Linked DNA regions of Yarrowia lipolytica. The protein of the gene in region 1 interacts with the protein of each later gene in a pairwise test. Links are inferred from orthologs where the notes say so. Each region holds a gene or a part of one and is shown in the gene's direction. Other genes may lie near its edges.

Evidence for each region. The genes of interacting proteins can lie anywhere in the genome.
Region 2: the proteins of YALI1_C05386g (region 1) and YALI1_D35190g interact in a protein complementation assay, tested with the Saccharomyces cerevisiae proteins (2 studies listed by BioGRID). The link is inferred for Yarrowia lipolytica from reciprocal best matches to the Saccharomyces cerevisiae genes PEX11 and PEX12.

Annotation. Positions count from the first base shown.
Region 1 is NC_090772.1:536,220-540,918, reverse strand, and holds YALI1_C05386g (uncharacterized protein), read left to right. Parts: upstream 1-2,316; coding exon 2,317-3,018; downstream 3,019-4,699. Other genes in the region: YALI1_C05372g (uncharacterized protein), read left to right, coding at 3,706-4,699. UniProt on the Saccharomyces cerevisiae protein: Involved in peroxisomal proliferation. Promotes peroxisome division and biogenesis.
Region 2 is NC_090773.1:3,516,176-3,521,868, forward strand, and holds YALI1_D35190g (uncharacterized protein), read left to right. Parts: upstream 1-2,759; coding exon 2,760-3,986; downstream 3,987-5,693. Other genes in the region: YALI1_D35148g (uncharacterized protein), read left to right, coding at 1-2,445; YALI1_D35210g (uncharacterized protein), read right to left, coding at 4,157-4,741. UniProt on the Saccharomyces cerevisiae protein: Component of a retrotranslocation channel required for peroxisome organization by mediating export of the PEX5 receptor from peroxisomes to the cytosol, thereby promoting PEX5 recycling.

The DNA of each region.
Region 1 (4,699 bases):
AGTGTTTGGAGCGCTGAATGGGCTATTGTAGTGTTTATACAGCGCTGTATGAATCTCTCTGGTGGGAGGGATTAAAGATGGTGTGTGAAACGAGTCTGCGACATGTCCCAAAACCAGACATGATTTATCAAATATCAGGCTTCACTAATTAGTAATTCGTTTGAATGAACGAGTTCGAAACAAGAGCGGTTAATCTGGCGTTACTTGCTCTGTATTGCAAGTACATGTGACTATATTGCTTTATAAACTCATACAAGCACACGTACAGTACATACGAGTGGTACGCGTCTACATGTGTGCGATTTAACCCCTTCATCGTGATGGAGCATACTCCCGCGAAGAGGCCAATTATCACAATCGCCAAAAACAGTTGTGAGAGCTAACAATCGGTTTCAACAGTTTCAACTGCTCGGTTGGATGCATGTCAGCTGTCTACGGCCCGTTTATCCTGCAAGCTCCTCTCAGTGTGGTACCTACGACACTATTACTCGTACTGGTACGACCGTCCCTGGGTACCCACTAGACAAGACGAAACGGAACCGAAATGGGGATAGAGCTACAGTGCAAGTAGTTATGGAACATTTTATGTTAATTATAGTCAAATGAAAATTAGGGTCGAGACAGGAGTTCGGGATGCTTGTGGAATATCTAGCTGTGGAATATCTAGCTGTGGAATATCTAGCTACTTGTACTCGTAAGTGCCGTATAGTAAGTGCATTTCCGTTGAATAAACAAGACTCTCTCTCTACTTGTACACTACAGTATATACCATGTTGGGTGCTACTATATCAAGCGTCACTATCAAAGCCACTGCATTCTCCACCTTCCACTCCATCCATGCTCTCAAACTCATGGCCAGTATAATCCCCCGGACTTGCCTATATACAAGTACTTGTGTTGCCGGAATGATCAGGTTTGGTCACGTGTAACATTGTACGATGCCTACTGACCGCCCTCAAGTATTGCATACATACTGTACCACCACTTGTACTCGTACTCCACCCTTGTTGGTCAGGTATGCTCTCTTCAGTGCCAACCCATTCTGATTGATCCCGAACCCCGCTCACTTGATGCTTTTCGATGTACAGCATGTACTGTACTTGTACTCGTACCGCTACATACAAAGACTGCATCTGGTCTAAGGGATACCGTTTAGCAGGTCTAGCAGTTATGGAGATTGGCAATCTCTGTGTCTCATCCATTGCTGTTCCAGTACTGAGCCGGCAGTCTAGTCAGTATTCGCAATCGCACAAGCTCTTGTACTTGTATGTACTGTACATAGTCATACTTTCAACTACTGGTATTGTACTGGCACTCGGATGTAGACCACCGTTGTCGAGATAGTTGCCCAGAGTCAATCTGGTCCAGTTCGGGGGCAAGCCATAATATCTACCCGGTGACACACGTGTCGAACCGTCTTTACGTGCGGACCACTGTTACAAGCCCGGCAACAGTCGTCAATGTACAGTGTCGAACCTGGTGGCAACACCTGTCACTCACCGCTTGGCACCCCACACAGTGTTCCAACTTGTAATCACGATTACATCATCTGCGGAAATCGAACTCACGCGCGGAGAAGAAATAATCCCAAAAAAAGACGGTCTGAAAAACCCACCATTTATCGGACTTGATCTGCACCCCATACTCTTCCCCATAATGTATAAACTCTCGGACTTGGGGTATTTTTGATTGGGGAGCTGCACGCACCCCACGCACTTGCCATGCTCTCTCACACACAAGGTATGAATGGTCCAATGGGCCTGGTCAAGGAGTAAGCTGAGTGCGTAGGCGTGGAGTGGAGTGGGTGCTGAAATTTAAGTGCTCAAAGAGTCGTGAAAATAACGTCGAATATCGCAGTACTAAAGGCGGGGTATTCAATCCTGCGACCCCTGCACTGGAAACCGTTGCCATAATAACAAATATAATATATATACAAGTACTCGAACATATATATGCCACGCAGACCGGCTCGGACATTGTCGTGTTTTGCTATATACACCGTTCTCCGGCTTTGCCCGATTTGCGTGCCTGCGGATTGGCTGAACGTGAAACAAGTTTGCTGCAACCGAATTAAACGGCTGAAGCCAGCAATCCAACCACCGAGTGGCAATCTACTGGTTCGCAGCTTTACAACCGTGCAAACAGCGCTCCGTCCCCCCCTTATATACACATGGTGGGACCTTCTCCACGTGAAAACTAGCCTCGGTACATTTAGTTCGGCAACCTTACCCCAGCTGAGCTTATTTGCGGTGGTGACGAAGACCGTTTTTAAAACCCTAGAGTCTCCCCTTCTTCACGCCAACACACACAAAAAAGATGTCCGTTTGCCTCGCCCAGAACCCCACCGTGACCCGAGTGGTCAAGCTGCTTGAGACCCACGTCGGTCGAGACAAGATCCTGCGGTCCATCCAGTACTTCTCGCGGTTCCTGACCTACTACCTGTTCCGAAAGGGCTACACCAAGGACACCATTGATATTTTCCGAAAGATCCAGAACCAGTTCTCCATGGCCCGAAAGCTGTTCCGAGTTGGAAAGCCCATTGGCCATCTCAAGACCGCCGCCGTGTCGTTCGAGAACAAGACCCTGGACCCTTGTCTGCGATACACAACCATTGGCCGAAACCTCGGCTACGCCATCTACCTGGTCTTTGACTCCATCATCTACATCAACGGCTCCGGCATCAAGAAGATTGACAACATCAAGACCATCAAGAAGGTCGGCTCCTACTTCTGGGCCTTTGGTATCTTCTGCAACATTCTCAACTCCATCCACAAGATCAACATCTGCAAGAAGAAGCGAGCTGCTCTGGCAGCAGAGAAGGAGAAGGACACCACCTCCGCCAAGAAGAACGACAAGGACGCTGCCGCTGCCCAGAAGCAGCTGGTCTGGGATCTCCTCGATTTCTCCATCCCCCTCACCTCTCTCGGCTACCTGCACCTCGATGACGGTCTCGTCGGCCTGGCTGGTTTCGCTACCGGTATTATGGGTGTCCAGAAGGCCTGGGCCGCTACTGCTTAGATAGATAACTCGCAAGAGACGTATGCTCAATAGGGAGAGCACAAAGAATAATGAGTTTTGACTGTGTTGTAGCAACCAAGTGTGTCTGTAGCGTTCCGTGTAGTTCTGCAGATGAACAATGTGTGCAGATAGCAGCATGCCAATCAGTAGACCTGAGAAGGTGTTACCAGTACGAGCACTGTACGACACAATTGATACATATCCATAAAACGCGTCTTCGGAGATAAATCAATGTCTCAGATGTACGATAAGAGCAGCGTATGATGTGAGTTGTATTGTGCATGGAGAAACTGAATAGCATAAGAGTGGGTAGAGAGAGGTGAAGTGGGAAACGATCTGTTTAAGAGGCATGGCATGGCTATATGTTCTCTGACGTCTCAGTATCACCATATGACCACATACTCCACATTCAATCCCATTGATATCCCTCTACGGAATCGAAGGATGTACGAGTAGATACTGAATCAACCATTGTCACAACCACAAGTGTACAAGTAATGACTAACCACCACTATCAATTGACTGGTATACAGTATCATATAGTTTGTTATAGTAGGACGCCTTTCAGTTCAGTTACTTGACAACAATCTCCTGATATACAAGTACTATCCCCGTATGTAGTCACGCGACCCATAAGGACTTCAACCAACATATAAGACCTCTGTGTATGTCACGTGATGGCATAAAATGTATATATGCTATTATTCGTTCTCCGTTTTACCACTGTCATATATTATTGCGATATACTGGCCCCTCATCAATGACATCCTCCTGTTTGTGCTTAGTAATCTTCCACAAACCCTAACCTGGTTATTCAACATGACGCATGTTTCGAGACACGCTCAGTATATCGTCGCCATGAACAAAGCACAGGGGAATCCGGCTGGAGCCGCTGCCGGCGGGGCGACCACGGCCCAGCAGCAGCAGCAGCAACAAGCTGCTCGACGTCGACGCGCGTATTTCTTCAGCGAAACGACGGAATCGTTGTTGAAAAAGTACGAGAAGGATGCTCCATCGTTGGAGCTACATATTCACAAGACACATTTCCGGTTTGGCAGCCAGGAGAGCGTGATTCCGAAAAACTCGCCGCTCATCAAAATCTTTCTTGAGTACGTTAAGGAGGAGCAGATTCCGCTGGCGGCCACAGAGGTGTTCAAGGATGCAGGTATGCGGTTTTACGAGGGATGTATTATTTTGGAGATTGTCGATTATCGAGGAGTTCCCGACAAGACCGAGGAGACGGAGCAGCAACAGCAGCAAAATCAACAGCAAAATGGTCAGGATCCTAATCAGCAACAGAATCAACAGCAGAATCAACAACAAAACCAGAACCAACAAGAGACACAGGAGCCTACAGTTCCGCCAAAATCTTACAGAACGCTACTGAAACCGACTCCGCTGTCCATATACCACGATCTCATGTACACAACGGACCCCAGTCACGGTCGATTCACCGACCAGCTGGCTCTGCTGATGGAGGCCGAGATTCTGAACCTGACGATCCGGAACGTCAACCTGTGGGTGTCGCAGGATAAGTGGAAGGATCAGGACAACAAGCGATACCTGTCTGCGCCCGTGACGGAGCCACGCACCTTCTCGTCGCTCAAGGAAGCCAACAAGCTACTGCACCAACACAGACCCGAGGGTATTGTGATCCAGAAGCCTCAGCATGAAGACGTGT
Region 2 (5,693 bases), on another chromosome or scaffold:
TTCGGAACGAAGGGTAGTGACTACCCTGGTATGATCGGTGTCACCCAGCCTCGACGAGTGGCCGCCATCTCTATGGCGCAACGTGTTGCTAACGAGTTGGGTAACCAAGGTGATAGAGTTGCCCATCAGGTGCGATTCGATGTCACCGTGAAGGATAATACAGCTCTCAAGTTCATGACTGATGGTGTGTTGCTGCGAGAACTGTCCCAAGACTTTGCTCTTACCAAGTACTCTGCTCTGGTAATTGATGAGGCCCATGAACGTAACATCAACACTGATATTCTCATTGGTGTGCTTTCTCGAGTTCTCAAGTTGCGAAAGGAGATGTTCAACGAAGGCAAGTGCGAGTCTCCCCTCAAGCTCATTATCATGTCTGCTACTCTGCGGGTTTCCGATTTCACAGAGAACAAGACTCTTTTCCCAGTTCCTCCTCCTGTTCTCAAGGTTGAGGCCCGACAATATCCCGTTTCTGTCCACTTCAACAAACGAACAACTTACGACTACATGGACGAGATCTACCGAAAGACCTGCAAGATCCACAAACGACTGCCCGATGGTGGTATTCTGATCTTCCTGACTGGCCAAAACGAGATTGTTAACGTGGTCAAGCGGCTTCGGAAGGCCTTCCCTGATCGAACTAAGGTGTGGCGGCCCAAGGACAAGTCTGAGGATCTCCAGGTCAAGGTGTCTGCCAATGAGACTGTAGTGGAGGCCGAGGAGGTTGATTTTGGCGCCGATATGCGACAACAGGACTATGCTGCTGTCGAGGGAGAGTCTGAGACAGATGAGGAGGACGGAGAAGAAGGTTTCGAAGAGGAGCTTGCTGTCGAGGAGCGAAATGAGTCTGCTCCTCTGCACGTGCTTCCTCTTTACTCTCTGCTGCCTACCAAGGAGCAGATGAAGGTGTTTGAGGAGGTTCCTGCCGGCCATCGACTGTGTGTCGTTGCTACTAACGTTGCTGAAACTTCGCTGACCATTCCTGGTATCAGATATGTGGTTGATTGTGGTCGAGCAAAGGAGCGAAAGTACGATGAAGAGACTGGTGTTCAGTCCTTTGAGGTTGATTTCATCTCCAAGGCTTCTGCCGATCAGCGAGCTGGTCGTGCCGGTCGAACTGGTCCCGGTCACTGCTACCGTGTCTTCTCATCTGCCGTCTATGAGGAGTTCTTCCCTCAATTCTCCATCCCCGAGATTCTCCGATGCCCTGTTGAGGGCATTGTTCTGGAGATGAAACACATGGGTATTGACAAGGTGGTCAACTTCCCCTTCCCCACTCCCCCCGACAGACAGTCCCTGGCCAAGGCCGAGAAGCTGCTGGAGTACCTAGGTGCCCTCAGCAACACTGGTGTTATTTCTGATATGGGTAAGCAGATGTCTCTGTTCCCTCTGTCCCCGCGATTCGCCAAGATGCTCATTATTGGTTCTCAGCTCGAGTGCCTGCCTTACATGGTTGCCATTGTTGCTGCTCTCACAGTTGGAGATCCCTTCATTGGAGAGCACGAGCTTGGCATCAATGAGAAACCACAGAAGCCCAAGGTTGAGGAGGTTGATGAAGACGGAGACCGGATTAAGAGCAACGAGTCTGACTCCGAGCCCGAGGACATTTACGAGATTGAGCGAAAGCGAAAGCTGCGATCCAGCTACCATAAGGCCCAGGCAAAGCTGGCCTCCCTGGACCCTGCATCTGACGCTCTGAAGCTGCTCTCTGCCGTCTGCGCCATGGACTACGATTCCGACCTGGAGAACTTCTGCAAGGGCTTCTTCCTGCGACACAAGCTGATGGAGGAGATGCGAAAGCTGAGACAGCAACTGAGCCGAATCGTTGTGGCCAACTCCGACCCTCGAGCAGCTCCTATGCTCAAGGAACAGTTGAATGCCAAGCTCAAGCCTCCTTCTAAGCTCCAGATCAAGGCTCTCAAGCAGATGATTGCCACTGGTTTTGTTGACCAGGTGGCTCAGCGTCTGGACAAGGTCAGCGAGGACTACAAGCTCACTTCTCGAGAGCGAATCATCAACGTTCCCTACCAGACTCTGTTCCCCACCTCCACCACCAACAAGAAGACTGACGACCAAGGAAACCCTCTGCCTGACGACACTCAGGTGTTCATTCACCCCGGATCTGTCATTAACACTATGGGAACTCATCCTCCCGAAATGTTGGTATTTGCTTCCGTCAACCGATCGGGATCTTCCAAGCTGAGAATCAAGCCTCTCTGTGATATCACATCTGCCCAGATTGGCAACATTGCCAAGGGCACTGCTCTACTCACATACTCCAAGCCCCTGCCTCCCCCCTACGGCCCCAAGATGATCACCAGTACCTCTCGAGAGTGTTGGGTGGTTCCTCGGCTGGGAGCTGCTATTGGCTCTGGAGGCACTGGATGGGATCTGCCTCCTATTAAGGTGAAACAGGAGAAGAAGGGTAGCCAGTGGGTTACCTTGTAAAAATTGCCATAGCAACAAACGAACAAAAACCATAGCATGTTTATATTGTATTAGATTTCTTCATAATTTTAGGGAAACACACTGTATCTTCACTTCGTAGCTACAGCACTTACTAAGCACTTTTTACATCCTCGGTAAGTAATTAGGTTTGTGCATCCATACCCCACATAAAGTTGAACATGAAAGAAGGGAAGACTGATTTGCCCCCACAGCACCAGACAACCAGCAATACGGCGGTTGATCATTGTTAAGCCAAACGATTGGAACCTGATCATATCATATCAACCCAAAACGACCTTTCCTCACGACAAAAAATGGACTACTTTTCGTCACTCAACGCGAGCCAGCTGGATCCTGATGTGCCCACACTGTTTGAGCTTCTGTCTGCTAAACAGCTGGAGGGTCTGATTGCCCCTTCGGTTCGATATATTCTTGCATTCTACGCCCAGAGACATCCGCGGTATCTACTGCGAATCGTCAACCGCTACGACGAGCTGTACGCGTTGTTCATGGGTCTGGTGGAGTACTATAATCTCAAGACATGGAATGCCAGCTTCACAGAAAAGTTCTACGGTCTGAAACGAACACAGATCCTGACGAATCCCGCACTGAGAACACGCCAGGCCGTGCCGGATCTGGTCGAGGCTGAAAAACGGCTGAGCAAGAAGAAAATCTGGGGATCACTCTTTTTCCTCATTGTGGTGCCATATGTGAAGGAGAAGTTGGATGCGCGATACGAGAGACTCAAGGGCCGGTACCTAGCTAGGGATATCAATGAGGAGCGAATCGAGATCAAGAGAACAGGTACGGCCCAACAAATAGCAGTCTTCGAGTTTGACTACTGGCTTCTCAAGCTCTACCCCATTGTCACCATGGGATGCACCACTGCCACCCTGGCCTTCCACATGCTCTTCCTCTTCTCCGTCACGAGGGCGTATAGCATTGATGACTTCCTGCTTAACATTCAGTTCTCTCGAATGACCCGGTACGACTACCAGATGGAGACCCAGAGAGATAGCAGAAACGCTGCTAACGTGGCCCATACCATGAAGTCCATCTCCGAGTACCCCGTTGCAGAGCGTGTGATGCTGCTGCTCACAACAAAGGCTGGAGCCAACGCCATGCGATCTGCTGCTCTTAGCGGCCTTTCGTATGTGCTTCCCACTTCTATTTTCGCCCTCAAGTTCCTTGAGTGGTGGTACGCGTCTGATTTCGCTCGACAGCTGAATCAAAAGAGACGAGGAGACTTGGAAGACAATCTTCCGGTGCCAGATAAGGTCAAGGGAGCCGACAAACTTGCGGAGTCCGTGGCAAAGTGGAAGGAGGACACCTCCAAGTGCCCTCTCTGTAGCAAGGAGCTGGTCAATCCTACAGTCATTGAGTCAGGTTATGTGTTTTGCTACACTTGCATTTACCGACATTTGGAGGATGGAGACGAGGAGACAGGCGGTCGATGTCCCGTGACTGGCCAGAAGCTGCTGGGATGCAGATGGCAGGACGATGTATGGCAGGTGACCGGTCTGAGACGACTGATGGTGTAACGATACATACTATAGCATAACATGTACATTTAAACGCATCTTTTATCTTTATGCGACAGGGCGTGTTTGCGCGCTTCCCATTGTAAAATTACAGTACATTGTATAACTTATATGAACCTCCTGTCGAATCTCGACCTTTACCTTTTGTTTCCGATTGTATTCTCCTTCTCCTAAATTGGCTTAATCTTGAAATGCAGACCCACCAGAGAAAACACCAGGGCCTTGATATCCTGAACCAGATAGTAGAACGTCCGCAGACCTTCGGGGTCGTCCGATCTCTGCACATCCGACAAGGATCCTATTCGACCAGTCTCGAATGCAATGTGGTAGTTGGCAAATTTGATTTCCAGCTCCTGTTTACCGTCTCTGTTCTTTGGCGGCCACTTGGCATCGTTTTCCTTGAGGATTTCCGACTCTTTGATCATCTTCTTGAGCACCTTGACCACCACTGGTGAAACAGCCACTTCTCGACGGATAAGAGTGTCATTCTTGTAGTTCGAGTTGTTGGCGTATCGCAGCAGCGCAGATCGACCCTGGTCCAGCAACTGAAAGTCGAATTCCAAAAACTCATGGCCAAATCGACCCGTGTGGCCCGAGTAGTATTGTAGATAAAAGGCTTCTTCTTTGGCGTCTACCCTCAGAGAGAGGGGCTTTTCGATAAGATCATCTTCAGGCTCCACTACTTCGAGCTCCTCCTCCATCTGCACGTCCTCTCCGGGACGCGTGGCAATGCTGTATTCCTCTTCTTCCGCCATGTTGGATTTTCGTTTCTCTGTTCACGTCCTCGTTTGAAGATGTCGTGCAGTGCAGCAATCAAGGTTAGGGTTGGAGATGGATGCATGTAAGTAAATACTTACCAGAAATGGTTAGGGTGTAGTTGGGTAAAAGTGATAACAATAGAGTTTAATGTTTTTTTTTTTATATAAAAAAACAAAAAACAAAAAACAACAACAGCAAAGACGAGTAGACATTATCTGTAGTTAAGAAGGGTACAATATTTACAGATAAAGCACCTAAGCTAGGCATGTAAACATATCCCTGACGATTTTTGCTCATATGTTCCTATTACTCACACTGACCAGCATATTTTTTTTATGACACCTTCGCCTGATGCTCACACATACCCCTATGAATCTCTTCTGAAAGAAGCGATGACACCACAAGGTTTGTCTTGACTCTTTTCACTTCTAGACTCCCTATCTCCACTACCAAACACGATACCCTTGATTGAGCTCTCCTAGGTCAACATTAGGCAGAGTCAGAGTCAGAAGAATCAAGACACCTCCTACAATAACAGGGCCATATAACATGTGTCAGTAGACATTGTCGAAAACCACTACTCTGGAGTCTCGCTCGGGAGAACCTCTTGCAATCTTTAGCGGCGTCTGAACATTTAACCATCTTGTCTCTCTCAGCTTCGGAGAGAAAGGATGCAAATTCAGCCAGCTTCTTGGGATACTGCTGTTGGTAAAGTGATCCCGAAATAGCGTCTCCAACAGCTGTTCCAACCGAAATCGAAGAATCGAAAATGACAGTGGCAGACCTGCCTATGAAACAACACTGACTGAATCATGACCAAAACGGGAAACTGAAGCGTCCCCAAACCCTTGATTACCTGTGCTACAATGAACTGCGCAAGCGAGTGGTAGGGCTGTTTGTACCGGTAGGTGAGACCTAGACCCAGCATGTAGAGGCGTCCACCGACTA